Alligator mississippiensis: one gene and its partners. The protein of the gene in region 1 purifies or fractionates together with the protein of each later gene. This does not show direct contact. Links are inferred from orthologs where the notes say so. Each region holds a gene or a part of one and is shown on either strand. Other genes may lie near its edges. The genes, in order: DAXX, RNPS1, RELA and CREBBP.

The links.
Region 2: the proteins of DAXX (region 1) and RNPS1 purify together in Homo sapiens (co-immunoprecipitation; 3 studies listed by BioGRID and IntAct, with this or other methods). This does not show direct contact. The link is inferred for Alligator mississippiensis from reciprocal best matches to the Homo sapiens genes DAXX and RNPS1.
Region 3: the proteins of DAXX (region 1) and RELA purify together in Homo sapiens (affinity purification with western blotting; 4 studies listed by BioGRID and IntAct, with this or other methods). This does not show direct contact. The link is inferred for Alligator mississippiensis from reciprocal best matches to the Homo sapiens genes DAXX and RELA.
Region 4: the proteins of DAXX (region 1) and CREBBP purify together in Homo sapiens (affinity purification with western blotting; 3 studies listed by BioGRID and IntAct, with this or other methods). This does not show direct contact. The link is inferred for Alligator mississippiensis from reciprocal best matches to the Homo sapiens genes DAXX and CREBBP.

What each region holds. Positions count from the first base shown.
Region 1 is NC_081834.1:64,839,777-64,847,027, reverse strand, and holds the start of DAXX (death domain-associated protein 6), read left to right. Parts: upstream 1-4,231; 5' UTR 4,232-4,260; coding exon 4,261-4,469; exon of another isoform or gene 4,470-4,593; intron 4,594-4,964; exon of another isoform or gene 4,965-5,054; intron 5,055-5,238; coding exon 5,239-5,557; intron 5,558-5,980; coding exon 5,981-6,839; intron 6,840-7,089; coding exon 7,090-7,251. UniProt on the Homo sapiens protein: Transcription corepressor known to repress transcriptional potential of several sumoylated transcription factors. Down-regulates basal and activated transcription.
Region 2 is NC_081836.1:29,023,576-29,030,568, reverse strand, and holds the start of RNPS1 (RNA-binding protein with serine-rich domain 1), read right to left. Parts: upstream 3,014-6,993; 5' UTR 2,999-3,013; coding exon 2,901-2,998; intron 2,521-2,900; exon of another isoform or gene 2,441-2,520; intron 2,431-2,440; exon of another isoform or gene 2,201-2,430; intron 294-2,200; exon of another isoform or gene 173-293; coding exon of another isoform or gene 102-172; intron 1-101. UniProt on the Homo sapiens protein: Part of pre- and post-splicing multiprotein mRNP complexes. Auxiliary component of the splicing-dependent multiprotein exon junction complex (EJC) deposited at splice junction on mRNAs.
Region 3 is NC_081838.1:4,258,693-4,265,747, forward strand, and holds the start of RELA (transcription factor p65), read left to right. Parts: upstream 1-4,053; 5' UTR 4,054-4,481; coding exon 4,482-4,488; intron 4,489-7,055. Other genes in the region: histone acetyltransferase KAT5, read right to left, coding at 3,573-3,639, 3,719-3,730. UniProt on the Homo sapiens protein: NF-kappa-B is a pleiotropic transcription factor present in almost all cell types and is the endpoint of a series of signal transduction events that are initiated by a vast array of stimuli related to many biological processes such as inflammation, immunity, differentiation, cell growth, tumorigenesis and apoptosis.
Region 4 is NC_081836.1:24,211,089-24,218,862, reverse strand, and holds the start of CREBBP (CREB-binding protein), read left to right. Parts: upstream 1-4,763; 5' UTR 4,764-4,982; coding exon 4,983-5,067; intron 5,068-7,774. UniProt on the Homo sapiens protein: Acetylates histones, giving a specific tag for transcriptional activation. Mediates acetylation of histone H3 at 'Lys-18' and 'Lys-27' (H3K18ac and H3K27ac, respectively).

The DNA of each region.
Region 1 (7,251 bases):
AAGCACAAAAGGCCTTGCGCTTGTGGTCGATCAACTCTTGGATCTCCTGGTTGTTCTCCTCAACCCAGTCTTGATGTTTCCTGCTAGTGAATCCACATGTCTCCATGCAGGTGCAGAAGCCAGTGGACTTGAAGGCATCTGAAGTGTTGCTGGCATTCTCCCACTGTTGTTGATTGGAATTGTCCTTGTTTTCACGTAGGCACTGGTGAAAGAGATTGTGCTTGATTGGGTCCTTACTGACCTGTCAGCATTGCCTCTGCTGCAGCTGTCATTTCGGAGCCAGTCTGAATGATATAACCAAGCAGATGTGTTGACGATCAGTCCAGCAACTGTCAGCTCCTAGCATAGTTCAGGTGATGCAGACATCTGTCACCCTAGGCATGAACAATGATGTGGGCAATCGGGTGCCAATGCTTAGATCACAGGTGTTGCCATATTTTGTGCCTATTTTTCTGGTGGAGCAGGACGTTGGTGATGGCAAGTCTGTGTTCTGCCCATCTGGTCAAAAGGGGTATGCCGTTGGAGTTGACTTTTCTCCACTCCTTTCTTGTTGATGCTTCTGGTCCAGAGGTTTGAGTCTCTTCCAACTCTGGCATTGAAATAGCTGAAAAGAATAAGTCTGTCTTCCTCTGGAATGCCAAAAAGGACTTGGTCGAGGTTGGCATAACATTCCTCCTTGGTTTTGTCAGCAGGGTCAAGAGTCAGGGCATAGGGGATGGATGACAGTGACATGTTGAATTCCTGCCGGTTTAAAACAGAGAGTCTTGGGGTGCTCATTCATTCTAACAGGGAAGTCATTGCATTGGTTGAGTTCATTCTTGATGGCAAAAACCAGCTCCATGAAGCCAGCATTCTCCTTCCTGTTTACCTTTCCAGTATAGCTGCCTCCTTGTTCTTTGAGCTGCCCATCTCCCATTCACCTGTTCTCACTTAGGACAGTGATGTCAATGCTGTGTCACCTGGGCTCTTGAGCCACAATTGTGGTGCAGCACTTTGGGCATTTGCTATTAACATTGTCTGTGAAGGTCCTGATGTTCCAGGTCCCAAAATTGATTGCGTATCTTTGTTGATTTTGACTGCAGCAAAGGGGATCCCACTGAATGCAGTTATGCAGTTAGGAAAGAGGTAACCAGAGCAACTTTTTCTAGGCCCCTTCCCAAGGGGGGCAAGCAGAGCAGATCCTGAAGAGGGCTGCTCAGTTACAGTGACAACCATCAGATTGCAGTCCTGGCTCCAAGTGCTACACAACCTTCTTGTAACTGCCATCATCATGCCAATTCATAACTAGGAGCTTCCAGATCTCACAGGCCTGCTCCCATCATCACTAGGTGCTGCCCACTGGAGGACTTAAAGAATATGCTGGAAAAACTGTTTCCATCGAAGATGCTTGTACATTATTTCTTTTATCATGGAGAAGCTGCTGTGCATCAGCTTGACAGAATGAGATCTTGATCCAATGGCAAGGAAACCAAGACAATTGGGGATCTTGGTCCACTGCAGCCTTCATCTGCCTTTGCAGCCATTGAGATTCGAACATCTTCTGCCTGCTGCACCACTGAGGACTTGTAGGCCCATGGCTGGGGGCTGGGCTGGTGTGCACAGGTGGCAGAGAGTGAAATGGTCTTCATGAAAGGTTAGCTGCACAATAAGCAGGGGTAACTGACAAATAAGCAGTCATGGATCAAGCGGTGGCAGCACAACCAGGACGTGATGGGGACAGCAGATAGCAATGGTTTCCCTCCTGAAAAGCCACATGTATCCTTTGACAATGTTGTGCCATGGCAAGTACAGGTTGCCATTATAATAAGCCTAAAATGTACCAAGTAACAGTAAAAATGACGACTGGACTAGAAACCACTTTAGAGAAGAAAGTGAAAACATGGACCTGTGAATTCATACCATCTGGGACAAGTCTTGTGGGTAGTAGTATCCATGCAAGGTCCAAGCGCTTTGAATATTGATGCTAGGAAAGTGTCTAAGAGGGTTGAATCAACAGATCCCAGCCTAGGTTTCGGATTTTGCCGTGAGACACCAAGACTGGGGGATAATGGAGCCAGACCTGTGGGCCCTGCTGGGTTGCAAATGCTCCACTCCAATGCCTTGAACAGGTAAAGAACAGGTGATGTATCCAGTGGCTCCCATCAGATGGGTGCTTCGTAGGTCAGTGCTAGGCTCAGAAAGAGGGTACTAACCAATTCTTATGCAACATGCTGGCTGGAAACGCATGACTGTATTGTGTGTTCAATGATTATGTGGCATGATGTGCTAACCCAGTGTGTAAAAGAGGGAGGCATCAGCAAGAATCTACCCTAAATGGAAGGCATCACATGTTCTAACAGGTTTTATTTGGGGAAAGATTGAATGCATTGTAAGCTGTTTAATCCACAAGATATTGGAGATGTCACTGTAGAAGGAGGTCAAAAGAGTAAGAGTGCAAAAGCTGGTGAAGGTTTAGACTGTGGATTTGTCAGGGATGGTTTGAACAGGGATGATCCTGCCTCAGGCAGGGGGCTGAATAAGACGTGACCTCTGGAGGTCTCTTCCAGCCCTCCTTCTGTTTGATTTCTCGATGACTACCCAGTGCAGTAGATGACCCATCAGAAGCCTCACTGTCAATGGACAGGGCTAGTTCTGGTCATAGGTAACAGGACCATCTCCATCTGCTGGACTAGGAACTTAGAGCAGTGATTCCCCACCAGGGTGCTGTGAGATCCTCTCAGGGGTGAGTCAAAGTGCCACACAACACTCGTGCTATTAGGTGGCGAATGTGATTGGCAAAGTAAACCCCGAGCTTTTTCATCAGGATTCATAGTGCTAAGAACAGTCTGGCCTGTTGCATCTTTCTTATGTCTTTGCACCAGAAAATTTGCTCTGTTATTTTCTACATTCAAAAAACCTGCAAATTAAGGGCTACCACTTTTTGAGGGCAGCCTGGAGTCTATTGAAGGAGCTTCAAGTCTGAGATGGTTGAGAGCCACCAACTTGGAGAAAATGAAGCAGCCATGACTCTAGCATTCAAAAGAAGCTCAATTTTAAATTTACCATGAAATGTAGCTTCGTCAGGGCCTAAACTCGGCATGCTGTTGCTTTGTTAAGTGATTGTAAAGCATGGAAAAGTAATTGGACCAGGGGTCACAAAATAATAGCACTGGATAGGACTTTTAAAACTCACAACAGGAAGTTGTCTTTCATGCCGCGTGCAATTGAAGGACAGAACTCCTTGTCACCGGATGTGGTGAAAGCTGCGAGTTCAGCCAGGTTTGCAAAGGGTTTGGACACATCCTTGGAGAAGAGGGGCATCAGTCACTATGGAGCACAAGAGCGAGGGGCACAGCTTCTGGGTCGGAGGTTTCCAGACCTGAAAAGCTGGAGGCTGCAGGTGGGAGAGGAACAGGGGGAAAACCAACCGCCCCCATCAGCACTCACTCCCCACCCTGAGACTGGGCAGGACGACCGGGTCTCACCCAGGGCGCGGCGATCGTGTTCTTATGAGTTGGGACTCAACTGCATGGCCGTGCCAAGGCAAGCGACTGGGGATCTGCACTGGGCCGGGCACCTTTCCCTGTGGTGTCTGCGGGCCAAGGCCTGCTCCAAGCTCACGCTTGCCGGTGGATGGGGGCTGAGGAAGTTGTGCAATGGGTCGGACGAGGGACCTGGCAGTATGTGCCTCGGCTTTGCCACCAGGCCCTGGCTTGGATCCTGAGCCTCTTTTCCACCCGGAGTCACAGGGAACGAGAAGGGGTGTCCAGCCAGCGCTCGCGGTCTTCCTGCACCAGGGCTCGCAGGCCGCTGCCACCATCACCGCGGGGGGTTGATGGACATCTTGGCGCACCGGCTGTGCTGCAAATGCCCGCTCCTTTGCAGTGACCCCGAGGCACGAGGGCCCGGCCCCGCTCCCTTGGGTTTCACGTGGCGGCTGCGGGGACACGTGGGGCAGTGGACAGCTCCATGCTGAAAGAGGCGGCACGGACTGCCCACCTCGGAGCTGCAGCTGCGGTGGATCTGTTCCCTGACAGCAAAGCCCCCCCAGCACCATTCAGATGCACCGTGTAACCGTAAAGCCCGACCCTGGGAGACAGCCTCTGGGCCGCTTCCCGCCGCTGCAGACCGTGCAGCTTGACAAAGCCCCGGGAGGGCCATAGAGCCACCTCTTGGCCGCACTGGGGTTTTCTGGCCTTCCGCAGCCGCCGTCTCCACCCACCTGACCGAAACTGCAAATGTCCTGGGCGCCGCCATTTTGTTGTACGGACTTGGAAGCGCATGCGCAGAACATTCGGGCCGCCAACGCAGCTGCCCGGAGGTGCGGGTGCGCACATGCGCGCTGAGTCGCTATCAATCCGATGCCATTTTAGCAGCCCGCGGCGGAGCGGCGCGTGGACGGCGCTATTAATGGCTTGTCTCGTGGAGGCCGCCATCTTCTGCGGAAGCGGAGCAGACGCAGAGCACGTACCCCCCGCCCTGCGGGAATGGTATCGGCCAGACCCCCGCAGTGGCGCGCGCCCCCTCCTACAACGGAGAGGAACGCCCGCCCCCTCCACCCCGCGCGGGAAGGTGGTTGGGTCCAAGTCATGCCCCGCCCGCGCCTCTTAAACGGTGGGCGGGGGAAGCTAGAGTGCGGCGTTCTGATTGGTCGGGTGGTGTCACGTGGGCAGTGAGGTCATGTGGCTAGCGACACCGGGAAGTACTCTCCTCGCGGGAAAATGGCGGCGCCCCGGGGGTCGGGGGGGCGGCCGGTTTGCACCTCCCGCTGTCGCGGGGCGGCGGCGGCGGCGGGAGGGAGGATGGGCGGGAGCCACCCGGGGGCCGCGGCCCGCGGGGGCGGGGTCGATGGGAGGCGTACCGCGCCGGGGCGCCCCCGCTCGCCGTGCAACAAGATGGCGGCGCCGCGGGCCCGGCCAGGACCCGGATGCGAACGCGGCCCCGGATTGGCCCGGCGCGGCCGTACGGCGGCATGGCGGCGCCCGCACCTGACACTGGGGCCCGCTTCCGGTCCTGCGCGCGGCCGCGGAGGGAACTCGGTGGCTCGGGCCCCGCGGAAGCGCCGGCGGCGGCGGGTGAGGGCGCGCGGGGGGCGGGCCCCGCCTGCCCCGGGCCCGGCCCCACCCCTCCTTCCCCGTCCCGTGGGCCCGTGCGGCTGCCCCGCCCCCGCCGGGCTCCGCGGGCCCGGGCCCCGCGGGGGCGGGGCTACGGGGAGATGGGTGGGGGCCCCTGGTGGTGCTAACGCCCCTCCGCCCGCAGGTCCATCCCCGCGGAGGTGCCCCCCGCCCACCTGGGATGCGCTGCGCCCCCCCGCTGTGAGCCTGCGCCCATGGCGGCCGCGCCCCACGGCAGCATCATTGTCCTGGACGACGACGACTACGAGGGGCATGAGGCGCCGCCCACCCCGCCCACCACCTCCCCCCTGCCCACCAGCTGCGCCCCCCAGGATGGCCCCTTGGCCCATGCCGTTTCCCCCCCGCCCCCCAGCCAGGCCTCCCTGGATGGTCCCACAATTGTCGCCACGGCCCCCCAGGACAGGGGCGCTTTCCAGGCTGAGAACGAGCAGTTGTTTGCCGACGTGAGTTCCCCTCGCATGCCAGCCCAGGCTCCTTGGTCCTCTCTATCCCCAGCCCAGGGTGGGTTGCAGTGCACACTGCCCAGCGCGCTGTGCTCAGTTCCCCAGGCTGCCCTGGGGGTGGAGGGGGGCTCCCCTGTGCCAGCACGGGGAGGTGGAGCGGGGCCCAGGCCCCAGCTGCTCACTGTCACCCCCTCTGGCTTCCCCCTGTGCCCCCAGGTTTTGGAGCGTGTCTGGCTGACCCCTGACCCCTTCCCCACCTGCCTGCTTTCCTTCCCCTAGTCCGTGGAGCACTGATACTTGCTCCCTGCCTATCTTTTCCCTTTCCCACCCCCACCCTGACCTGACCCCATTCAATTCCTGGAGCACCGTGCCTGGCTGACCCCAGCCCCACCTGCCTCTTTTCTGTGCGTCTGTCACCAACAGTTCCTAGCCTGCTGTTCCCAGCTGACGGAGGAGCACCCCGAGGTGGTCCCCTACCTGACGGGCCGGCACCAGAAGGCCAGTCCCGCATTCCTGGGCTCAGCTGAATTCCGCAATGTGCTGAGCCGCTGCCTGACACGCGTGCAGGCCCGGCACCACAAGGTGTATGTCTACATTAATGAAGTATGCACTGTGCTCAAGGCCAACACCCAGCGCCGTAAGCTGGCCATCAGTGCTGTCCCCGCTCCTTGCCCACCCCTTGCCACGAATCAGGAGCAGAACAACATTGAGGAGCATGAGACAGCGGACACTGAGGCGGGCAGGAGCGAGTTGGCAGCCATGGAGGCAGAGGTTGGGGCAGGGCGGCATGGGACAGGCTCCAAGCGGCAGATCCGGTACCTGGAGAACCTGCTGCACATCTACATGGGGGAGATCCGTCGGCTACAGGAGCGGGAGCTGGACCTGACGGAGATGGACAGCGAGGACTCAACCTACCTGCAGGAGAGCCGGCTCAAGCGCCGCATGATGCGAATCTTTGAGCGCCTGTGCGAGCTGAAGCAGTGCAGCAGCCTGACCGGGCGCGTCATCGAGCAGCGCATCCCCTACCGTGGCACCCGCTACCCAGAGGTCAACCGTCGCATCGAGCGCTTCATCAACCGTCCTGACATCTTCCCTGACTACTCTGACATCCTCAAGGTCATTCAGAAGGCCAGTGCCCGCCATGGCCTAGCCCTGAAGAAGCGTCAAATAGAGAGCATGGCCCAGGATGCCTTTCGGGATGTCGGCAACCGGCTCCAGGAGCGCCGCCACCTCGACCTCATCTACAACTTTGGCAGCCATCTCACCGACCATTACCGCCCTGGTGAGTGCAGGGTGTGTGGGGCTGGCATGGCCCAAGGGGCCTCTGTCTACTGCTGCTCCAGGGAGAGCTGTGCCTCTCTCCTGCTTACACAAGGTGGTAGACAGAGGACCCCGCTGATGAGCACTGAGCCTCTTCTTTACGTGCTGTGGGGTCTATTGGCTAATCTGGTTGCAGGGACGCTAGTGCCTTTCGAGCAGAAGGTTGGGCTGTGGATGCTTAGTTTATTTGTCCCTCTCCCTCGTGGTTGTAGGTACAGATCCTGCACTGACGGACCCAATGCTGGCCCGGCGTCTGCGGGAGAACCAGACCACAGCCCTGAATCGGCTGGAGAGCGTCATCTCGCACTATGCCCAGCTGCAGGATGAGAGCGAGGAGGAAGAAAGGATCCGTAGACGGGCAGGGCAGGTCCGGG
Region 2 (6,993 bases), on another chromosome or scaffold:
TCAGAAGGCGAGAGATGTTTCCAATTCCTCACCCTCATTGGGAGAGTCCTAGTACACTATACAATTGTTTCAGGCCTAGAAAATTGGGACAGAATCATTACCTAGTGCTGGATTTTTTATTATTCTCTTTGAATCCTAGCAAACTCTTCTTTTTCATTCCTGATAACTCCATTTCCCCTTCGGAGGCGTGGAAAGCAGCACCGAATGGATCTCACTTATCTCAAATCTCACTTCTAACTCCTTGATTCTGAGAAACGGTCCCTAATCGAGTGCAATAAATTCCAAAGAGCAGCCTAGTGACAAGATAAAAGGATTTAAAAAGAAGAAATTAATTTATTGGCACAAAAAACAAACCTACTTTGCAATACAGGCAGCACACATTGGGGATCAGCTACTGAAATAGTTTACACAGGGCACTGTGATCAGACGCACTGCTCCATGACTGTTACAGGCAGCCTAAGGGCCTGCGCATAGTTGCATGTTTTTGTCTGCTGAAGAATTCGAACAGGTTTCAGAACACTATCTGAAATGTCATACGAGTACAAAGGGTACAAACTAGCCATTCAAGATAGGTGGCAGATGGGTCAAGCATAGCTTTTAATGGATTATTTTTTTGCACCCCAAATATACAGGTAACTTGCCTTGTCACAACTATTCTGTCTCAGAGGATTAAGGGCTTCTTTTACCAGAGCCAATTGGTGCCACAGCATATGTTGGTAAGGAAAGGGGCATTACTCAAAAGCCTTGAAGTCCCCCTTCTCTGTCTAAGCAAACTGCTTCCATAGCTAAGTCAGCTTGGAACAAGCACCTGAGCTATGGAACCAAAGTTGCATACATTGTTGTGACTTCAACAGACTTTGTTTGAATCCCTCTAAGGGGGAAGCCTACCTGGGCTCAGACCTGATGTACCTGCCCCCCCCTGTACTCTTGATCCAAATGAACACCCCAATATTAAATAGCTATTTAATTACTAGCCACAAGCTGAACCCCAGGTGTAATCCAAGAGAGGTCCTAATATGCCACATACAACATGCAGTCCCAATACATCTTCACATTGTAACTGTACTGGTGAACTGTTTAATGTTTTCGATAAGAAGTGCCTGCAGCTTGCAATCTGCTGGTAGGCTGCTGCTGTTTGATTTGTGATCACTTCTCTCCACATAAATACCCGAAGCTTTCTGGGGAGCAAATTCTGTGATCACCACAAATGCAACTGAAGCACAAGCAGGAACCTAGACAAATAAAACATTCAGAAGACTACAAGTCTAGACTTTATTCACATCTTTTTAAACCACCTTTGCACTGTGATCCTACAGAGAGTATGTAATACCAGTAACATTAAATGAAGTTTCTTTAGCCAACACACAAGGAAGTGATGTGGTTAGTACTGTGTCTGGTCTTTCCTTTGACTTCCCAAGCCAGGTGTGGCTAGGTATTTTCAGGTAGCTTGACAGGGGGCAGCCTGCAGACATGAATTACCACTGAGGCTCAAACACACTTTTGGAACAAAACAACTAAACTGCTATGCATTGCACTCCTAATCCAGTCTAAAATCACTTTCCAGTTTCACCCTTATTGAAGTGGGGGAAATGTCATGCTCAAAACAACCTTCATCTTTGCCATCATTCTACTCACTGGACTTAATAGTGCAGGTGCTGAAATTAACAGTGAAACACTGCCTGCATAGGAACAATTTTGCCTGATATGCAAATTAACCCTGCTGTGTCCTTTTAGTATTAAAATTAAGAACATTTTCAAGTGGTGCAAGCATTCACTGCCACCAAAGCTTCCGTCTCCTTTTCCCTCCATAAAAATGTGCGCGCCTTCTCTCAGTACCATGCAACCTGCCCTGTTCATTTGCTATCAGCCAACGGACTGCAAACATCTACAGCCTGATGAAACAGAAACTGAGGTCTCGGAGAACAAAGACAAGGCTACATGCGCGCTTGCCCAGCTATCACCCATGTTCAGTCACTCGCTAGAAATAAGCCATGTGTCTAAACATGGGCATACATACATGGGGATGGCATATGCAAGCAATACGCTTCCTTCCAGTTACCAAGAACATTGCTTTGCCTACAAATTTAGGAATCTCTCAAATGAAGAGGAGGAGCACAAGGCATGTGGAGCAAGCATTCGGGTGTTACATGATTCTTCTTCGCTCTCCTGTTCTATGCAGTGGTGTAGTGACAGGACGCACCGTTACAACAGTGACATTTCCGGGATGGACAAAGTAAACCCTACTCCGCTACAGACTTCCTGCACGAGCCTGGGCAGGGCATGTCACTGCGGTGTGCTTCAGCTCCCACTGGCTACAGGAGGCTAGCACTTCCAGGCTGAGAAGAATGTGTTCGTGCAGCGGGGCCCGCGGGCTGCAGAAGGATGAAGCGGGGAGCCCCGCGCAGTTTGCGGGTGCCGGGGCGAAGCTGCGGCACGTTACCGTGCCCGGTGCATCGTGGCGGCGTCGCTGCTGGTCGTGCCACGCGAGCCGCCACGCTAGGAACGGAGCCGAGACGCAGGCTGAGGAACAGGGAGAGAAAAAGCAGACCGAGAACAGAGTCGACTCAGGGGCCAAGAGAGGCGGCCGCCACCGACGTGCCCCTACTCTCCGGCTCACTCAGCAGGTGCCCGCTGCCTCCCCGGGCCGTCAGTTCCCCCCGCGCACAGAGCAGCCCGAGCCAGGAAGGGGGCGGGGAGCGCGCTCGGCCCCGCTCGGGCTGTCCCCGCAGGGCGCGGTAGGCCTCGGCGCCAGGCTCCATCCTCGTCCCGTCCGCCCGCCCGCCATGTTCTCTCGGGAGGCTCCGCGCCCCTCCCCCTGGGGCCCTCCGGCGGTCGCGGGGCCCCCGGCGCCTCCCCCCGGCCAGATGCAGCCGGATGCCCGCGCCCCCCTCCCGACTCACATCCTCGGCGCCCGCCGCTGCTGCTCCCCAACCCCGTCGCGCTCCACAGACGCGCCCCGGGCGGGAAGGACCCGAGAGGCGCAGGCTGATGGCGTCATCAGTGGGGGGGATTTAAAGGGACAGAGCGGGCCGCCTGAGCCCAGGCAGCCTCCGGCTCTCGGCTGGCCGCGCAGGGCAGCGCAAGCCTCCTCCCGTCCCCCTCTGCAAACGTCCTCTCTTCGGTCCGAGCCTGTCTAGCCCTCGGCCGCCCCCACCCCCGCGGCCGGTGCAAGGTGCCGCATCATTCACCTCAGCCGACGTTTCAAAGCCTGGTGGATCCCCCCGGCCAGGAGTTTCTGCAATAAGTGGCGGGGCTGAGCTCTGGTGCGGCCGGGGCCGGGGCCTGTCTGGTGCGGAGCCCGCGCTGACCCGGCCTGGAGCTTTCCGCCGGAGACCGAGGGGGGCTGCCTGCCACGCGGCCTCCCGCACTCACCTGTGCCGCTTCCCCTCTTCCTTGCGGCTCGGCCGGCGCACGCGAGCTGATCGGGCCCCGGAAGACTCACCAGCACGGCCGACGAACAGGCTGGGCAGAGCGGGTAGCAAGAGCAGGATCGAGCCGGCGGCTGGAGTCGGCGGAGAGCTGCAGGGAGCAGCCGGTACCCGGAGAGCCCGGGACGCGGGTAGGGAAGGAGCCCTGGTGCTGGGAGCCTGGGTGAGAGAGAAGAAATGGTGCCACTGCCGCAACGAGCTGCGTGGCAGAAATCGCCTACTTGACAGTGCTCTTAAGTCCGCTCTGCAGCCCTTGTTTTCTACCCAGTCTAGCAACCTCAAGTGTGACAGCCCCGGCATGTACCTCTGATCCACCAGTCAGAGCACTGTGCACCTGCCCACTGCCCCGTCCACAGACAACGGGAACCGGGAGCTAGTAAAAGATGCGTCCGTCCTCGCCCTCAACCCCGGCAGCAAGCCGCGCGGCGGGTGCAGAGAGGAGCTAGTCTGGCCGAGGGAAGGCTGCTGCTTGCCTGGTTGCCTGCACGTCCCCCGGGGACACGCGCGCTGGCCCCATCATGACAGAGCCCGGTCCATGCAGCCCGGCAGCGCCTGGTGGGGGAGAAGGCAGCTCCTTCCCAACCCTGAGGCAGAGCTGTCCTTGAAAGAGTTAAGGCAGGGCCCCTCCCCTTTGAATGCATAAACCTCACTCCTGACCTTCCCAGCAGCCCTTGCTGGCTCTCCCCCAACCAAACAAAGAGGGCAGGAGCTTTTCAAACAGGAGCTTTCCACAAAGTTTGGTAGTGCTGGGAGGACAGCAGAGTATGCTGAAGAACTGGTCTGCTCCCAGGTCTGTGCTGTCAAAGCCTGGCTGGAGAGAGCAGCAGCACCAGCACTAGCACTGGTTTAATGCCTTCCTCCAAAAGGATTGTGGTGATCTCTCCTGGTTTGCTGCATGTAGACACTTCAGGGGTTTGTATGCATGTTTACTCCTTGGCTTTAAGTTGGTTTGGTTGTTGGGAATGTAGTAAAAGGATAGAGAGGAAGTGCAGGGGGAGTCTGTGCAGGAGGGCTTGCTGCCTTGCGGAGTGTCAGTTTATGTTATGCTGCTGGATTCCTTAGCACTGCACTCTGCTTTTAGCACACTTGCACGTCCCTTGGGGCATAGCTTGGCTGCTATAAATGGGGTCCCGGCTACCAAGTGTCCTGTGTGTATAAGTATCCAGCAGGAATTCTGAGAGACTGTTGTCATGTGCCTGAATTCACACAGCAAGTCAGCGTCTTGCTTGGGGTGAGTAGTTGGAGACAGCAGCATTGCCTAAACTGATATTTCTCACGCTGGGTGTGCAGTGAATTTCTGGAGGGCACATGAGGCTCCTGGGGAGCTTGTAGTGTGGTTGCTGGGGCATAAGACGTGTTTTATTACACATGCCATGGAATCCTAGGGGTATGCAGCAACATAGCAATTTAAATAGGGGTGTGTGACCCACTTCTGAATGAATGAGGAAGGGATGGACTTTAAGAGGTGCTGATTTCTGATTCTGCCTCGGGCCCTGTGCTAGTTTCTTCATTTCTGGTTCCCCATTTGTACACAGACATAATAATACTGCTGCCTTTGCAGGTGTGTGTGTAGAGGTGGTGGGGCTGTTGGGGATTAATTAGTCCATGTTTGTAAAATATCACTTACGGGTAAATATTATTGTCATGTGGATTAAACCCTTTAGTGACTCAGTGCTACATCTATTTTAATTAGTTACACACAGGTGTTTATAGAAAAGGGTGTCCTGGTTGTATAGTAAGCAAGTGACTTGTTAGCTGGTGGTCTAATTTTGCAGCTGGCTAAAGCACTACATTTTTATTGTCTCTTTAATTATTATGAAGTGGGGGAAGATACTAGCACCATAGTTTTGCATGGCAAGACAGTGTAGCACCATACCAGCCCTGCAGAGGGTTACATAGTAGTGCCAACTCCTCAGACAGTGCCTCAGCTTTGATCTTTGGACCCTGTTTTTTATGTTTAAAATGAGGCTTGCGTGACTCTCTGCACATGACTGAGGGAGGCTATATGGGTGTTTGGCTCTGTAGGGTGTGTGTCACTTTGATAGTAAACAAGTCACACAGCCATGAGGATTTCATTTCTGTGCTCTGAAAGTTGTAAACCTTTCACTTGAATTGCATAGGAAATCCTGAGATCAAAAGCTGTTGCTGCAGGGGACAGAAATGCAGTAGCTGCATTTGTTGGGTTACCTAGCTTTGAAGCTACAGAAAAGGGATTTTTCCTTGCCTGTTCTTAAATATTGCATCTTCTGAAAATAACACGGACAACATCCACTTGGCTGACACTGGGGAACACCTAGAAGTTCTAGTGTATCTAACTATAGACTCTGAGCTTGCTTTGTGCCCTTTGTGTCCACTGTAGTTTTTATATTTGCTTTTTTGTGACAATCTTGCTGCTAGTTCATATCCACAGTTTCTAATGCCATACATGGGTGAAGATGTGTATGCAGCAGTCTGTTTGTGATCTGGCCCTGAAAATGTGCAATGATGTATGTGCCTTTGTTTTTGTTTTTCTTCAATGACATTTTGAAAGTGTGCCCTGACTGTATAAATGTTTGCTGAGTATTGAACTTCCTTAAACACCTTGATCTTGCTACAAAGAATAAGGGTTACATGACTGTGTGCGATGACTTCCTTGTCTTTTCTTCTAACAAGTTCAAGACCCCCAATAAGTTAAAGAGGTGTGTGCAGTTCTTAATCTTGAAGTCCCCCAAGCAGAAAAGTGTTTCTGGGGAAATTGGAGACTTAGAGTTACAGTAGCATTTTTAAGCCAGGTCAGTAACAGGGAGCAATTCTCCCTCATGTACTTTTTGGTCGTGCACTGTTCAAGTAGGCACGATGAATTTGTCACATCTCTGGACTTGCTAGCTGATAAGTCCTCAGAACTCAAAGAAACTCTTCTGGAAAAAATGTTACTGTCTTCCTCACTTGTAGTGTTAAGCGATCTAATTTGGAAAATTGCAGTTTCTTACTAAGCAAACCTCCTGTGTGTGCTTTTATACTGGTTTACAAACTTTTTAAGGTCATAATAATTAAAAAAATATTTAATCCAACTTTTATTTTTAGGTCTCCTTCCATTTAAGGATCTCTGTGCTTTATGAACATGTTTGCTTAGCCAAACCTATCTCTGAGGTAGTCTCTCTGGGCTTTGTATTCCCCATTTGTATCATGGAGATTAAATGCCTTGCCAAAGGCTACATCGAGATAATGCTTGGTTGTGCTATAGAGCCTAAATATCTTGCTTCCAGGTGTTCCACCTTATCTATAAGTCTGTCCAGCCTTGCTTGAGTCTATCCTTCCTTTGATGTACCAGCAACTGATGTCCAAAGAAGTGGAAGTGCTTGTTCTGCTCCTCCCCTATGGAGGATAAGTCATCATGGTTCACATAATAGTGCTGCCTTCACCCAACCAAATTTTCTGGCAGGAACTAATTTCTCCCTTGTGATCATGCTGCTCCCAGTTCTCCACTGCCTGTGAAGAAAATGAGAACTTGGTAACACAACCTACTTGCACAGACACTTCTGAGGGATGGGCTTTTCACGGTCAGCTCTGGTTTACATGGTTATCT
Region 3 (7,055 bases), on another chromosome or scaffold:
CCTTTCTGCGGGAGAGCAGGCTGCAGGCTGGCATTCCCCGCCTTTTCCTTCCTCCGCTCTCTCTCCTCTGCTTAGAAGGCAAGAAAATTTCCCTCAAAAGAGGCTGCCCCCGGTGGAGGTTGCGATGCCACTGGAGACCGTCAGCAGCCAGGTCCTCCCAGCTCTTGGTGCTGGCGCCCACTATCTGGAGGTTTGCCTTCAACATGATCTCGTAGCGTTTCCTCTGGCCACCGCGAGATCTCAAGCCATTACTGTTCCAGGAGTAGAGCACTCATTCTGGTAGTTGAGCATCGGGTGTCTGCGCAGTGCCCGGTCCAGCAAAGCTGGTGCTTGAGGATCACTGGCTCCATGCTGGGAACGCTGTGTGAGGATCTGGTCTTGAACTTTTGAAGGGGTGGTTCAGACTGGTGGGTCTCAACCTCATCAGACCCCTGGCTCCCCTCCGCACCCTCCTCCTCAGGCAAGGCTGAGTCTTTGCTTTCGCTCACCTCTTATGGAAAAATATCAGTGCAAATGTTGTGCTGCAAAGAACTCAGCAGGGCAGGAGGGACTGGATGCTCTGGGCTCCTCTTGGAGATCTCTGGGTTTCTCTGGTGAATTGTGTCAGCTGTTGGGCACAGACCAGTACTAATACTGTGCAGCTTCCTTGAAAGGGTCTTGCAGCACCCTGCTGCTGCTCGGGTGAGAATCACGGTGTTGGACAAACCAGGATGGTTCAGCCAGGGCTGGTGTTGCCTGGGGCAGGGGGCTGGGCTGGATGCAATCTTCTGAGCATCTGGCCCAGCCTGATTTCTTCTCTGCTCAAGATGGGACCAGGGAGAAACAGGTGCTTTCTCTGTTCTGGCAATTACATTTTTCCTGGACTGCACTGAGAGTCAGGAGATGGGTCAGAAACAGCTTTGGGGCACACAAATGGTCAGGTCAGAAGCATCCTCCAACCCCTCTTGCTTCTTGTGTGTTCCCTGGACTATTGTGGCAACAGGAAAAATGCTCTGTTTAGCCGTCACTGGGAAACAACCTTCCTCCCAGAGGAACTCGGGCTTATCCCAGTTCTGTAGGCCAAGCCAGCGGTCCTCTGGAGCCGTTGTTCTGTTCTTCCAACAGATCACACTGACTAAAGTTGGACAACAAAGCTGAATGCATCATAAGCTGTGCAGGAGCCAGTAGTGAGCTTTTGCTGCAGCCAAAGCCATTAGCCTCCCGGGTTGTATTAACAAGAAGGTTGCTTGCAACTCCAGTGATTCTTCCACTTTGTACAGCCTTGGGGAGGCATCACCGGAAGTCCTATGTCCAGTTTTGGGCCCCGCACTTCAAGAAGGTGGACAGATTGAAAGGAACCCAGCACAGAGCAACACAGATGAGGAGCAGCCTGGGAAGCGGGACTGATGAGGAAAGGCTGGAAATACTCAGGGGATCAAGGCTGCAGAAGAGAAGACTGAGGGGGGATTTGATCACAGGCTTCAAACCCCCAAATGATGATGAGAAAGAGGATGAAGATGGCTCTCTCTCTGTGGTCACAAGGAAGGGGACTAGCAGCAACTTCCTCAAGCTGCAGCAGTGGAAACTGGGGTAGGGGAGGAGGAAGAACCTTCTGATTCTAAGGGGAGTTGAGCATTGGACCAGGCTGCCCAGAGAGGTGGGGGAGTCTCCATCTCCAGAGATCACCAAGAGAATGTTGGATGCACTTGGCTGGATTAGGATTGTCCCCGACTAAACCAGCCGGAGCCGGGGGCTGGACCAGATAACTGGTGAGGCCCCTTCCAGCCTGACTTCCCTACAGTCGTATACTAAATAATGTGTGTGCAGTTGAGTTTATTATAAATGAAGGTACTTGGAGCCAGGACTCCTGGGTTTCGTCCCAGCTGAGAGTGGCATGGCATTCAGTAGCCTAAAGTAGGGGGCCTGGGAGCTAAAATACCAGGGTTCTAGCCCAGCTCTGGGACAGATGTAGAGTCTGGTGTGATGGAGCAGTTAGGAGCTGGGAGCCTGGCTACCTGCATTCAACTCTAGTTCTAGAAAAAGATGTGGGGTGAATGGGGGATTAGGGGCTAGGACTCCTGGGAGTGGAGTGGGGGTTTCCAGTGGGTTAGAGCTGGAAGCCCAGGATGCCTGGGTTCTAGTCCCAGCTGAAGGAAGGTGAAGACTGTTAGCAGGCAGGGTAGATACGCACCTTTATGGACTGACTAACTAAATACACACGCACGATATATAGAATGTACGTGTGAATCTATATGATGGGTGTGCTTATATATGTATATGTCAATGATTTGTGTATAACTATACATATGATACATTAAATCTGTGTGTGTATACCATATAAATATATACTTACACATGCATAGTAGATACAATATAGGTGTGTGTATATATATATATTTATATATAATATAAATACACGTGTACACATACACTATATAAATGATACATACACGTGCGTGTGTATATAATATATAATAATGATGATATATAATATATAATAATGATGATGAAGATGGTGATAATATGATGTGTGGGTGTATAATCACAAACTTTTTTGAATCCAAGTTCACTTCATCAGACGTTTAAGGGCTACTTGGCACAGCAGTACCCCTGGACCTGATAAGAGCACCGAGGACTCCTGGGTGCTCGTTCCAGCTCGGGGAGGGGACGAGTGGCCTGAAACCCAGTGCTGAGATGTGGTCGGCAGGCCAGCGTTCCTCAACCCGTGGGTCACGACGCAAGAGCGGGTTGCAAGAACAGATGACGGGTTGTACGTGAACAAACTTTAAAAATGGAAAAACGTGGGAAACCGGGGTTTTTCCCTCGCAGGCTGGCACATTTCCAGCCTGCCAGGGGCCGCTTGGGCCCCCCCCCACCCCACACTTCTCCCACCTCATACAAGGGGCAGGGGGGGCCAGTGGGTCGGGACCGGCCACTGATGTTTCCAAATGGGTCCTGGTACAAAAAAGGCTGAGAACCACCAGTCGCGGAGGCAGAGCTCCGTGGCTCCAGCCCCAGCTCTTCCTACTCAGCGACCGCAGGCGTGTTTCTTCCCCCCCGGCCCCTCTCCATCTGGAAGAGGCTGTTGGCAGGGACCCGCCCGCGGGTGTGGGAGCTGCACTGTTATCCTGCGCGCTCTGCTGCAGCTGGGCCCAGGATGAGGTGCTGGGAGACGAAACATGGCCCCCGGCTCCGCGGCCCCCGTGCCCTGCCAGGCTCCGGCCGCTCGCACGCAGGTCAGGCCAGTGCCAGGCTCGGGACAGCGGAGCCAACGTGGCGGCACGGGGACGAGGGACCCCTGGTCCCTGCCAGCGCTGGACCCCTCGGCCCCCGGCCCCGCGGGAGTGGGGGGGGGCCGTGGGAGCCCCAGGTTGCATGGGAGGGTGCTGTTGCTATGGTCACTGCCCCAACAACCCCCTGGACCCCCCATGTGTCCCCCTTGGCTCCGCCCCTCCTCTCTAGGCCCCGCCTCTCCCGGGACAGGTGCCCGTAGCTCCGCCCCCTCCTCTCTAAGCCCCGCCCCTCGCCCCAGGACGTCCCCCGACGTGCCCCTAGCCCCACCCCGTCCCCCCAGGCCCCACCCCGTCACTCACGCCACTCATCCTCGTTCTCCTGGTTGCGGCGCAACACTGGCAGGCGGCAGCCCTCGGACACCTCCCCCTGCAGGCGGGACAGGCCGTTAGCGGGGTCCTGCCCCCCCCCCCGGGATCCCGCCCCGCGCCCCCCGGCCCCCACTCACCACCTCCGCCATCTTGGGCCTCTCGCTGTGGGGGGAGGGGGAGAGCGGCGGGAGCCACCCGCCTCCACTTCCGGGAGCGGCCGGGCACCACTTCCGGGTTCCCCGTAGGCTACTTCCGGGACGCGGCAGGGTCACTTCCGGTCGCGCCGCGGAGGCCACATTTTCTCTGCTGGCGGGGAACGGAGGGGGATGGAACGCGATGACGCCAAGCTCATTTGCATAAAGAGGCGTGGAGGGAGGCAGGATGGAATGCTGCGGCTCTGTGGTCATTTGCATAAAAGGGGGCGTGGAGGGAGGGGGATGGAACGCGGCGACACCGCCCTCGTTTGCATGGAAGGGGGCGTGGAAGGAAGCGGGGGTCGGTCCCCGCGACGTCACTCAGCTAGATTTGCATGCCCGGGGGCGCGGCCTCGGAGGGGCGGGGCTTTCCCAGCAGCGCCCGGTCACATGGGGTGGGGCATTTCCGCGTGCGGCGACGACGCAGTCGGACCCGGGCCCCGATCCCACGGCGGGAGCGACCCCCTCCCCCACCCGGCCCGGCCCCGCCCCCCCCGGGGGGCCAGGACCCACCTCTCCTTGAGCCCCGCCCTCACCGAAGCCCCGCCCCTTCCAGCCCCCAGTTGGGGTTCGGACCCCCATACACTCAGCCCCGCCCCCTCGGCTTAAGCGCCGCCCCCAGCCTGGGGACCTCTCCCCTTAGTCCCTGCCCCCTCTAGGGCGGCGGGGCCCCGTGACACCCTGCCAGGACCCGCCCGCGGCCCCGATGGACGGTGAGTGCCCCCGGGGGTCGGGGTGGGGCTGCGCCGGGTGGGTGCAGGGCTGGGGGGCGACGGGATTCCCAGGAGCTCTCGGGGTGACCCCCCCCATCCAGCAGATCCCGCCCTGGGGCCAGGCTTGCTGGGTTGCGGCTGAGTCTGGGGTGATGCGGATGCGGCGGGGCCCTTGGGAGCCAGGAAGGGGCCGGGGTGGGGGGAGAGGAATTGTCTGCCAGGAAGGGCCGGAGCCGGCCGGGGCTCCCTCCAGCTCTGGGGGGGCCGGGGCTGAGAGCAGGGCAGGGAGCCTAGAGCCGGAGGCCTGGAGTCCCCCGCGCGCGCGGGAAGCGGAGCGGGCTCGGTTCTGCCCGACCGTCTCTTCCGGCCTGGAGACGTGCGTTGTGCCACCAGCCGCTCTTGTGCTGGTGGCTGGAGAGGGGCGTGTGCGTGTGTCACGGGGAGGGGACGCGGGAGAGCCCAGGCGTCGGGGCCCCCAAGCCCCGCTCCCCGCCCAGGCGTCCCGGCCCAGCTGGGACCCTGGGGTCGATTTGGCCCCGGGCAGTCGGAGCCTTGCTCCCAGGCTGAGGTCATGCGCTGCTCCCAGGCTGTGTGTGTACGGAAGTGTGCATGCCTACGACATAGGGCTGTACGTGTGTATGCATTCAGGGCAGGTACACTCCTGGGTGTGCACATTATAGGGACACGTGTGTATGTGTCCATATGAGATATGGACGTATGTACGCTGTGGGGCAGGTGTACATACGATATAGAGACGTGTATACAGGATAGGGACGTGTGTGCGCGCGCACAATAGGAACGTGTGCGGGTGCGTACAATATAAAGACACACGTGCATACGATATAGGGACGTGTATACATGTGTGTATGCATAGTATAGGATCCCGCGTGTGTATGGTTACATGCGATACAGGGGGACACGTGGGTATGTACGATAAAATGATATGTATGCATGTCTGTGATATAAGGACCAGTGTTCCTATATTGTGCGCACACACACCCCCCCCATACGGGTCCCTATATCATATCTACCCATACATGTTCCTATATCATGCGTACACACACACACATGTTTGCGCACAGGTAGATGTAAAACAGGCATGTGTGGGTATGTGCAGTATAGGGGCACGCATGTGTATGTACGATATTGTAGATAATGTGCATGATGCAGGGACATGTGTGCAGGACGTTGCGTGTCAGCGTGTGCACGCATGCTCATGTGATACGATGAACCCAGAGTCCTGGGTCCAGTTTTGGGCCCCGCACTTCAAGAAGGAGGGGAGTGGATTGGAGAGAGGCCAGCGCAGAGCAACGCAGGACGGGCGGAGGGGGAGAGATCTGCGGGGATTGAGTCTGGGGAAGAGCAGACAAAGGCGGGGATAGCACGGGATGGGCTCTGGCAGCTGCTGCAGGGGAAACAGAGGCAGGAGACAAGGAGGACCCTTCTGGCTCTGAGGGGATCTGGCATTGGAGCAGGCTGGCCAGAGAGGCGGGGGGGGATCCATCCCTGGAGATCTCCAGGAGCTGGCTGGAGACCCGGGGCCCGGCTGGTTAGAGACGTTGTTCGCCGCGTGAGCCTGAAGTTGGGTAGGCGGCAGGGAGTCGGCCCCTGATAAACTCACTGGGACAGGGAGAAGTAGAGACTGAGACCTAGACCTAAATCTGGGTATCAGGTATAGACAGGTATAAAGCTAGATAAATATAGGTGTAGATAGAGAGATGCAGGTACAGACCAGTGTAAAGATACCTAAATATGGATGGATATAAAGAGAGAGAAATAAAAGTAGGTGTAGATAGCTAGATATAGGTATAGAGAAATATAATGATAGCTAAAAAGAGATAAATATAGCTAGATACAGGTATACCTGGATATAAAGATAGATAAGTAGCGATAGAGATATATCTATCTATACCTGTACTGATCTAGATAAATAGGAACGGGTATAGATATGTAGATATAGACATAGAAAGATAGCTATATAGAAATAGCTGTATAGAGAAAGATCCAGGTGTAGACAGATATAAAGCTAGCTATATCAAGATAGCTACAGGTAGGTAGGTACAGGTATAGACGGATATACAGATAGATATAGGTATGGATATGAAGAAAAACAGAGATAGGTATAGGCAGATGTGGACAGATACAAGTGTAGACAAAAAAATAGAGGTCAGTATATTTTGATACAGGTATTGACATATATAGAGGTAGCTATAGAGAGGTAGGTATAGGTACAGGTATTTGCAGATGTAAAGATAGATGGATGTGCATGTAGGTAGATGAAGGTGAGCACAGGTGTAAAGACAAATAGAGATAGAAAACTGCGGGTGAGTATGAAGGTGGATAACGAGAGCTGCAGGTAGATGGAGGAACAGACGGGGAGAAGAGTAAATAGAGAGAGATGTAAAAATAGATGTAGATGGATATAAAGATGGAGAAGTATCTCTTTTGGGGGGGGGGTGTCTGTACACACTGTGGTGAGTCTCTAAAGGTGCATCTCTGCCCTGACTTGAGGCTGAGTTGAGACTAACATGGCAACTGCCTGTCTACTCACGTATGTCATAGCGGGG
Region 4 (7,774 bases), on another chromosome or scaffold:
ATGGCGGTGTTGGTGGCAGTGAGAGCATGGTGGCAGTGGTAAGTGGGGAGCTCCCGCAGATGCTGCCGGCACTGTCGGCAGCGGGGGGACGGGTGGTGAGCGGCGAGCACCCACAGACACCACTGGAAGTGACAGCGGTGGCCAGCAGTGGTCGCTGACTGCCTGGAGACACCACTGGTGGCAGGGGGTGGCAAGCTGCAACCACCTACAGGCACCACCGACAGTGTCAGTGGCACTTTTTTTGACAGGGTTCACTGCCATGCTCAGGGAGTGCATGTGCACCTCCTATGCATCACCAATGGTACCCTGCCCCCCACAGGGCAGAGCCCCCCTCAACACATGGACTACCCTACCTTTAGGGTCCCAGGCCTCTCCAGGGGTGACAGCTTCCCCCCCCCCCCTCGCTGGGCTCAAGCCCCCTGCTCATTCCCCTGCTCTTCTCCAGCCTCTAGAGACTGGAGATAAGCAAGAGAACAAGCAGGAGATTGGAGAGAATAGGAGAATGAACAGGAGGCTCATTCCCATCCACCCCTGTTGGTTCCCTCAGCTCCCCATTTGTTCCCCTGCTCCCCATTCATTCCCCGCATCCACGGTTCATTCCCCCTGGCCCCTGTTCATTCCCCCTGCTCTGCATTTATTCCCCTGCTCCTCACTCATTCCCCTTGCCCCGTTCATTCCCCCCATCCTGTTCATTCCCCCCACCCTCTGTTCATTCCCCCAGCTCCCCACTTGCTCTCCCAGCCCCCCCTCCCCCCCCGCCCCACTCACCAGCAGTAGCAGAGAATGAGCAGGAGGCTGGAGAGAGCACGGGAAGTCTCCAGCTTATCTCCAGGGGCTTGTCTCCAGCCTCCTGCTCGTCTCCAGCCCCCTGCTCCTTCCGCTGCTTGTCTCCAGCCTTGGGAGGGAGCAGGAGGCTGAGACTGCCCCTGGAGACATTCCCCTGATGCCTCCAGCCCCCTGCCCCCCTGAGGCTGGAGAAAAGCAGGGGAAGGAGCAGGGGGCTGGAGACAGCCACAGAAACATTCCCGTTGTCTCCAGCCTCGGGAGAGCAGGGGACAGCAGGGGAATGCCTCCAGGGCTGTCTCCAGTCCCCTGCTTGTTCCCCTGCCATCTCCAGCCTCCTGAGGTCCCCCCCCTCTCCAGCCCCCAACCCCCTGCTTACCTGGCAAAAGCTGGGTCTGGGTCCCTGCAGCTTGCACCACTGCCTGCCCAGCACAGGTAGGCAGCATGCTTCAGGAGCAGAGAAAGGGCCAATCATAGAGATGCTCTGGTACTCTGCCAGAGCGTCTCGGGAGGACTAAGCCTCCAGTTGCCTGAGGGCATGGTCCCAGACCCAGTTTTTTCCCCCGGGTTTTTGTTTGACCCCTGGATATCCAGGGGTCTCATTTTCTTGCAGCACACGGAACATTTTTTCACTCCTTCAGTGCCCCTTGCCCTGCCTCAAAGGGGTTTGAGATGGGGCAAGAGGCACATGTGCACTCGTCTGGACGCACCCAACTTGTTTGCTGGGATGAGTTTGGCTGGTGCTGTAGTGAAGTTTCATAGTTGTCATAGGCAGGAAAGACTGCTGGGCTCAGGTGACCCCAGCAAGGTGTGTGTCAAGATGCTTTTTGAAGTTCACCAGGGTTGGTGACTGTACCACCTCATGGGGGAACCTGTTCCAAACCCTCGGCACTCGACTGAAGTAGTAAGTAGTCTTCCTGGAGCTATACCCAAAGGATGTGTGAGTTACTATGACCCCACTGGTGGATCCTGTAAATCCTTATCTGAATTAGAAGTTTTGTCCTCGTCTTCTGAATCAGCAGATGTTGAGTCAGTACTGGAAAACAAATATTGCAAAAAAACCCTGACGACTGATTAAATTATTAGAGTGAACACCTTGTATTCAAGACAACTAACCACTGATGGTTAAATGGGAAAGTTTTGGGTAAAGAATTAGGCCATCATTCAATATTCACTGCTTGAACATTTTGAAAATGGCGTAAGTTGTAAGGAAGTTGAGAGCACTGTGATCCATTGTTGCTTGTGACAGACAATATGACCTGATTTCTCTCCCAGAGGCTGAATCCTCCCACACTTCTGACATAAAATGTATGTTCCCTCTTCCCAACTGGTACAAATATATGACAGTGAAATTGATACATTAAAAGAGTGTATGCAATTCATAATTTCCTCAATGTTAGATGTCCTTAATTACTGACAATTGAAGAGCAATGAATATACTGTTACCATTATGCTGCCTCCAGTTAAAATAATGGACATATGAAAATGTTTCTGGTCCCAGACTTTGGGCATTCTAGTAGTTACTGAGATCCTTGGAATTGGAGTTGTCTATTGTGAATCTTACAGGACATGATTGATTTTCTTGAGATTTGAAAGACGGAATTCAGAGCCATAACAGTGCAGCTTGGCACCAGGGGCAGTTTTAGCACACACGATAGTGCTGGACGCCATGCTGCTGGTGGTAGAGGTGCAGCCAACCACTAGCCATGTAGCTAGTTATTTCTGAATCTCTGCCCCTCTCAAAAAAAGCAGAGCCCACACCTCTGGCCCCAGGTGCCCCTGCTCCCCCCCAGGCATTTATGCTACTGATATAATTTAACAAAAAATAGTAATTATTCACTGGAATATGCATTAGTAAGGAATTATATAGCAATAGGAATAATATAGGTATTGGAACCATTAATTTAAAGGGAACTATTAAGTCGTGCTATGGCTGGCAGCCATATTAAGTAATCCCTTTAATAACTAAAGAAATTCATAAAAGTAACAAATATAATGTAGCAACTGATAAAACAGATTTTTTTTTAAATGGAAATAGATTATTACAGCTTTAAGACGCATAAAATCTAATATATCCAACTAAAGCAATGTATTAACTCATCTGTACAATCAAGAGATCTTATGTTTGTTGCCCCCATCCACCTTGTTTTCTACCACCTCCACTTTTTTTGCCTTAAAATTATATTACAAGTAGTTTGACAGAAACAGTGTTTCTGTGTGCACTTCTGCCACCATGCAGAGGCAGTGTGATGGCTCTCTGCATAGAGGCAGCAAGAATGTGTACAGGTAAATGTTTGCTGGGGAAAGTTTGGCTGGTGCTGTAGTGAAGTTTCATTGTTGTCATAGGCAGGAAAGACTGCTGGGGTCTCCCTTAGACCCTTAAGTACGCCCTGATACTGCCTGAAGGTGGGCAAGTGCTGAGCAGCTGGATGGGCAAAAACATGGGGATCTTGCATGACAGGTGTGCTGACGGGTGTTGGGGTTCTGAAAGTGTGAGAGACATTTCCAATGGCAATGTGTGGCAGGTACACGAACATATCACAGGGTCATTCAGGATTATGGAGTATCGGCATATGGAATATGGGGGAGCATGGAGGAAAGATGAGCTGGAGGTGTGGGAAGTTCTGAACCCTCTAGAGAGGCAAACTGGACGGGAACACTGTGGGGAAGCAAAAGGTGAGAAGTGTGGGTGGGCACTGTAGGATAGGAAGTAGGTATGGAGGAAGGTGCTAGGAGGTTTGGACCTATAGATAGACAGTAGAGCAGTTGCTCAATCCGTGTTACGCAGAGGCGGATGCCGGAGTGGATGATGGTGGGCATCACAGGAAGGTGGAGAGGGAGGTGTAGGCAGAGGGTATTACCGGGGGAAGGCAACAGGGTGAGCACTCTGCCTCGGGCAGCGTGTTGGAGGGGAGCAGATGTGTGACCGGTGAAGACCAACCTGTGTTCAAAGTGATCTAAGATTACAAAATTGTCCGTGTAAGTTAGTAAAATCTGCCGGGTGCTGCCACGGGCGAGGAGGCACCACCTGGAGGCAGAACGGGGGTGAGCGCTGAGGCGAGGTGGGGAGAAGGCAGCAGGGCAGGGAGGACAGGCGCTTACTGGCCGACTGGCGGGGACATGAGGTGCTCCAGGGGCAGCGGGCGGTGGGGACCACGGCGTGGCGGTGCCCGGGGGCAGAGTGCCCACAGCACGGCGGCCGTGCGAGGGGCGCAGGACCCAGGCAGGAGCCTCGGGGGCGCTGTGGCTACAGCGGCGCGCACCGGGCACCCCATATTTGCATGTCTATTTGCATACGCTTCCCCCTCCCCCGCCCACTCCGGCCGCGCTCGGCTGTTTCCGCGGCCGCTCGTGTCTTTCCGGCGATGGCGGGGGAGGGGGCGTTCCCCTGCGCGGTGACGCAGCGCGCAGGCCCCGCCCCGCCCCCGCCCCCATGGTCTCTGGAAAAGAGAAGAGAAAAAAAAACTTTTTTTTTTAATTGAGGAATCAACAGCCGCCATCTTGTCGCGGAGCCGAGCGCGGCGCGAGCGGGAGCAGGGCCGGGCCGGGCCGGGCCGGGCCAGCGAGGCGGCCCTCCGGGGCACGGGCAGCCGCACGGAGCGCCGCGGAGGCCAGGCGGGCTCGGCCAGCGGGGCAGCACCGGCCGGGGCGGGGAGCCGGGCGCCGCCGCCGGGACCGGGAGCCGCGGCCGCCGCGCTGCGCTCATTGTTTTTCTTGCCGGCGGCGGCGGCTGCTCGTGGGTGGGCGGGCGTCGGGGCGGCCGAGCGCGGAGCGGAGCCTGGGCCGCGGCCGGGGTCGGGGCCGGGGCGAGCCCGCGCGGAGGGGAGGGGACGGGCCGGGCCGGGCCGGGTCGGGCGCGGGGGGGGCGCTGTGCTCCCGGAGTGACTGACTGAGCCGCCATCCGGGCACCTCCTCGCCGCGCGAGGGCGGGGGAGCGGCCGGGAGGAGCGAGGCGGGGGGGGGAAGGGGGGGCGCTGGGCTCTCGCCACCCCGCCCCGAGCCCGAGCCCTCCTCCCTGCGGCCTGCTGCGGCGGCGGCCCGGCCCGGGCATGGGGGAGCGGGGGCCGCCGCCGGCCCGGCACTGAGCGGCGCTGTTGTTCGGCTGCTGGCGGCGCCCGACTCGGAGCGCAAGAGCTGGCGGCCCCGGCCGGCGGGCGGAGCGCGGCGGGGCTGGGGCTGTGACTGTCGAGCCGGCTGCCATGGCGGAGAACTTGCTGGACGGGCCGCCCAACGCCAAGCGACCCAAGCTCAACTCGCCGGGCTTCCCCCCCACCGACAGCACAGGTGAGCGACCGCGGAGCCGGCACCTGCGCACCGGCCTCGCAGGCGGCTCCGGGGCCGCGGGACCGGGCTGAGGCCGGACAGGACCGTCCCCCTTGGGGCTCGCCGCTGAACAAAAGCCCCCGCTTCTCTGGCAGTCGCCAGGCCCGCCCCGCCCCGCGGCTCTAAGCTAGGGGATGAGTCCGGGAGGAGCCTGACAGCCCCAGACCTGGCTGGAGAGGTGCCCCCCCCCTCCCCCCCGAGCCTGGCTGCCCCGTCCCTGCAAGCTGAGCCGGCCCTCACGGAGGCCAGACTTGCCGGACCCCCATCCCCTTCTAGCGGAGCTCACTGGCGGCTGGCTCGCCTGTCCTCCAGCTGTGGCCGCTGCTCCAGGACCGGTGACGGGTTCCCCAGAGCTTGGCAGGACCTAATGGAAGTGAAAGGGATCATTCCTCCCTGCCTTTGCTTGCTTATGCCCTCAGATAAAGGTAAACTAGAGGTGCAGTTGATCAGAACTTGAGGATTTCTGTAGGGAGCTTTGGAGCCATGTCACTGCCATGGTCCAGGGATTTCTGTACTTGCTCTTGGAAGACTTAGTGGTGTCTCAGCTTGACTTGCATTTAGACAGAATTATTTGTGCCTATTCTGTGCATTTTACTACTTTGTCAAGACCACATAGTTAGCCAGGGAGCAGGAATAATATCTCCTGAGCAGTCATTATGTGGTGTAAATGTGCCTTCATCCATTGGGAAGTGCGTTTGAGAACCAGAAAGATTTCATTCACAGTAACTACTTCTGAAAGTTTTTGGCTTTGACTATATAAGTTCTTTACATTCTGGGGAAAGGAAAAAAAATGTCAAATTTCCCTGTTTAAAATTACTATTTGCTTGTTTGGTGTAAAGAATTTATGTTTTCCTATACTTACCTTTGTAACTGTTATGACCTGGTTCTTAACTGAAAAGTTGGGTCTTACAAATAGTCACCTTAGTCTGCTTTTGAGCATTTTCCTATAGAAATTTGCAGGTGTCTTATGCATGCCAGTTGTATGATGTCTTGTGTATTGAAAATGCTCACTAGTCTCAAAATACGTACACTTCAACATAGTTGAACAACATAGTTGTAGTTTTTGCAGTAATTATTTATCACAGTAGAAAATATCTTTGAAAATCATGTTAGGAAAAGGGGAATACTTTTCTATTTTGAACAGATTATTTTACAGTTTATTTTTGTAAACTTTTATGTGCATGTGTATAGTTTGAAATTTAGGGTAGTATCTGAAAAAGCAGTAACAGACCAAGAAGGCATGTTTGACACCCACAAGTCTATGAAGGCATGTGAATGTTTAGTGAAAGGGACTTTAATTAAGCCTGATGCTTTTTACACTGAAAAATTATGCTGTAAATGAAAGATTAGGTGTACTGCTATTTCAGCTTATTTACTATCTGTATTTGACTATGTAGTAGATACTTTTGCCATTCTTCTTTCATATAATGTGTAGCAAAGGGAGGAAATGCTTGAAAGATTATAAATGATTCTAGCTTTTTCTGCAAATAACTGGATATCATGTTGAAGAAGAGTGACATATAGTGAATTTCTATATTCACAAGAGTGAATATAGAAATTATAAAATGAACTGTGGAACCAAAGAAAAAAGGAAATCGTTTATCCTAATTTCTCATATAGTTGTTATAGCGTGTAATCCTGGCTGGTAAAATAACAACTTGAAACACTGACTTCTGAAGTTAATAGTTTCTCTTTAGAATTGGGACACACTAAGTTATGTCCCAATTCTGCAAACACTTAAGCCTGTGAGTAGCCTCAGAGAACTCCTTGACAGCAGTGGTGTGAAATGTTTGTAGAGTTGAGGGCCTTGGTCCCTCAACAGTGATGATGTCCGAAAAGTCGTTTTTCTCACATGTACCTTTATAGTGTCTGGTCAGCATCTAAAAATATTCATAGCGTAATACTTCTGAAAAGTTTGAATAGCATTGGTTTTATTGTATCCTTGGTATATTGAAAGGTTTTTATTCCATCTATCTTTGAGTTATCTTTTTAATACTATTTGAAAGGTGAATGAATGTTTCCACATGAGATAACAGGTTGTTAAAAAAAAAAAAAAAAAAAAAAAAGGTGTTCATTATAATGTTTTACTCAAATTCTGACCCTAAAATGAGCTCTTGCCTGTTGTTTTAGTAATAGAACCTTGTGTTGCAACCTGGAAAGTTGCCTTTGATCACAGTTGTTTGGACAAATAGGTTTGAGCCATGTGCTCTTAAAAGCAATAGGCTGTGTAATGTGTAACACTCAATTGTATTTAGTGGCATACTTTAGCTGTTTGCTGCGTCCTTTTGTGAGAGATTAAAATTGATTCAGGTGTAAGTAATGTAAAGCTCAATTGTGCCGTTCTGTTACTAAAGATTAAGTTTGCATTCCTGCAAGTGCTTATATACCTGCTTAATTTTAGTGTTCTGAATGGTCTTAACTGCACAGGTGGACCTGAATGTTTAATGTGCATGCTGTTGTTTAATTTTTTTCTGTTCCTAGTTCATATGATGGTCTGTGTAGCAGTTGGATGGAAGGGCCCCCCTTTTTAGAGTAAATATTTAAGTATCTTAATTTTTATGGTAGAAGTAGTTGATTAATGTTAAAAGCAGTGAAATACAGTTACTCCATCTACATTACAGTGATTATAATAAGAACTGCTTGAGGCAAATAGTCTAGCATTTTGTAC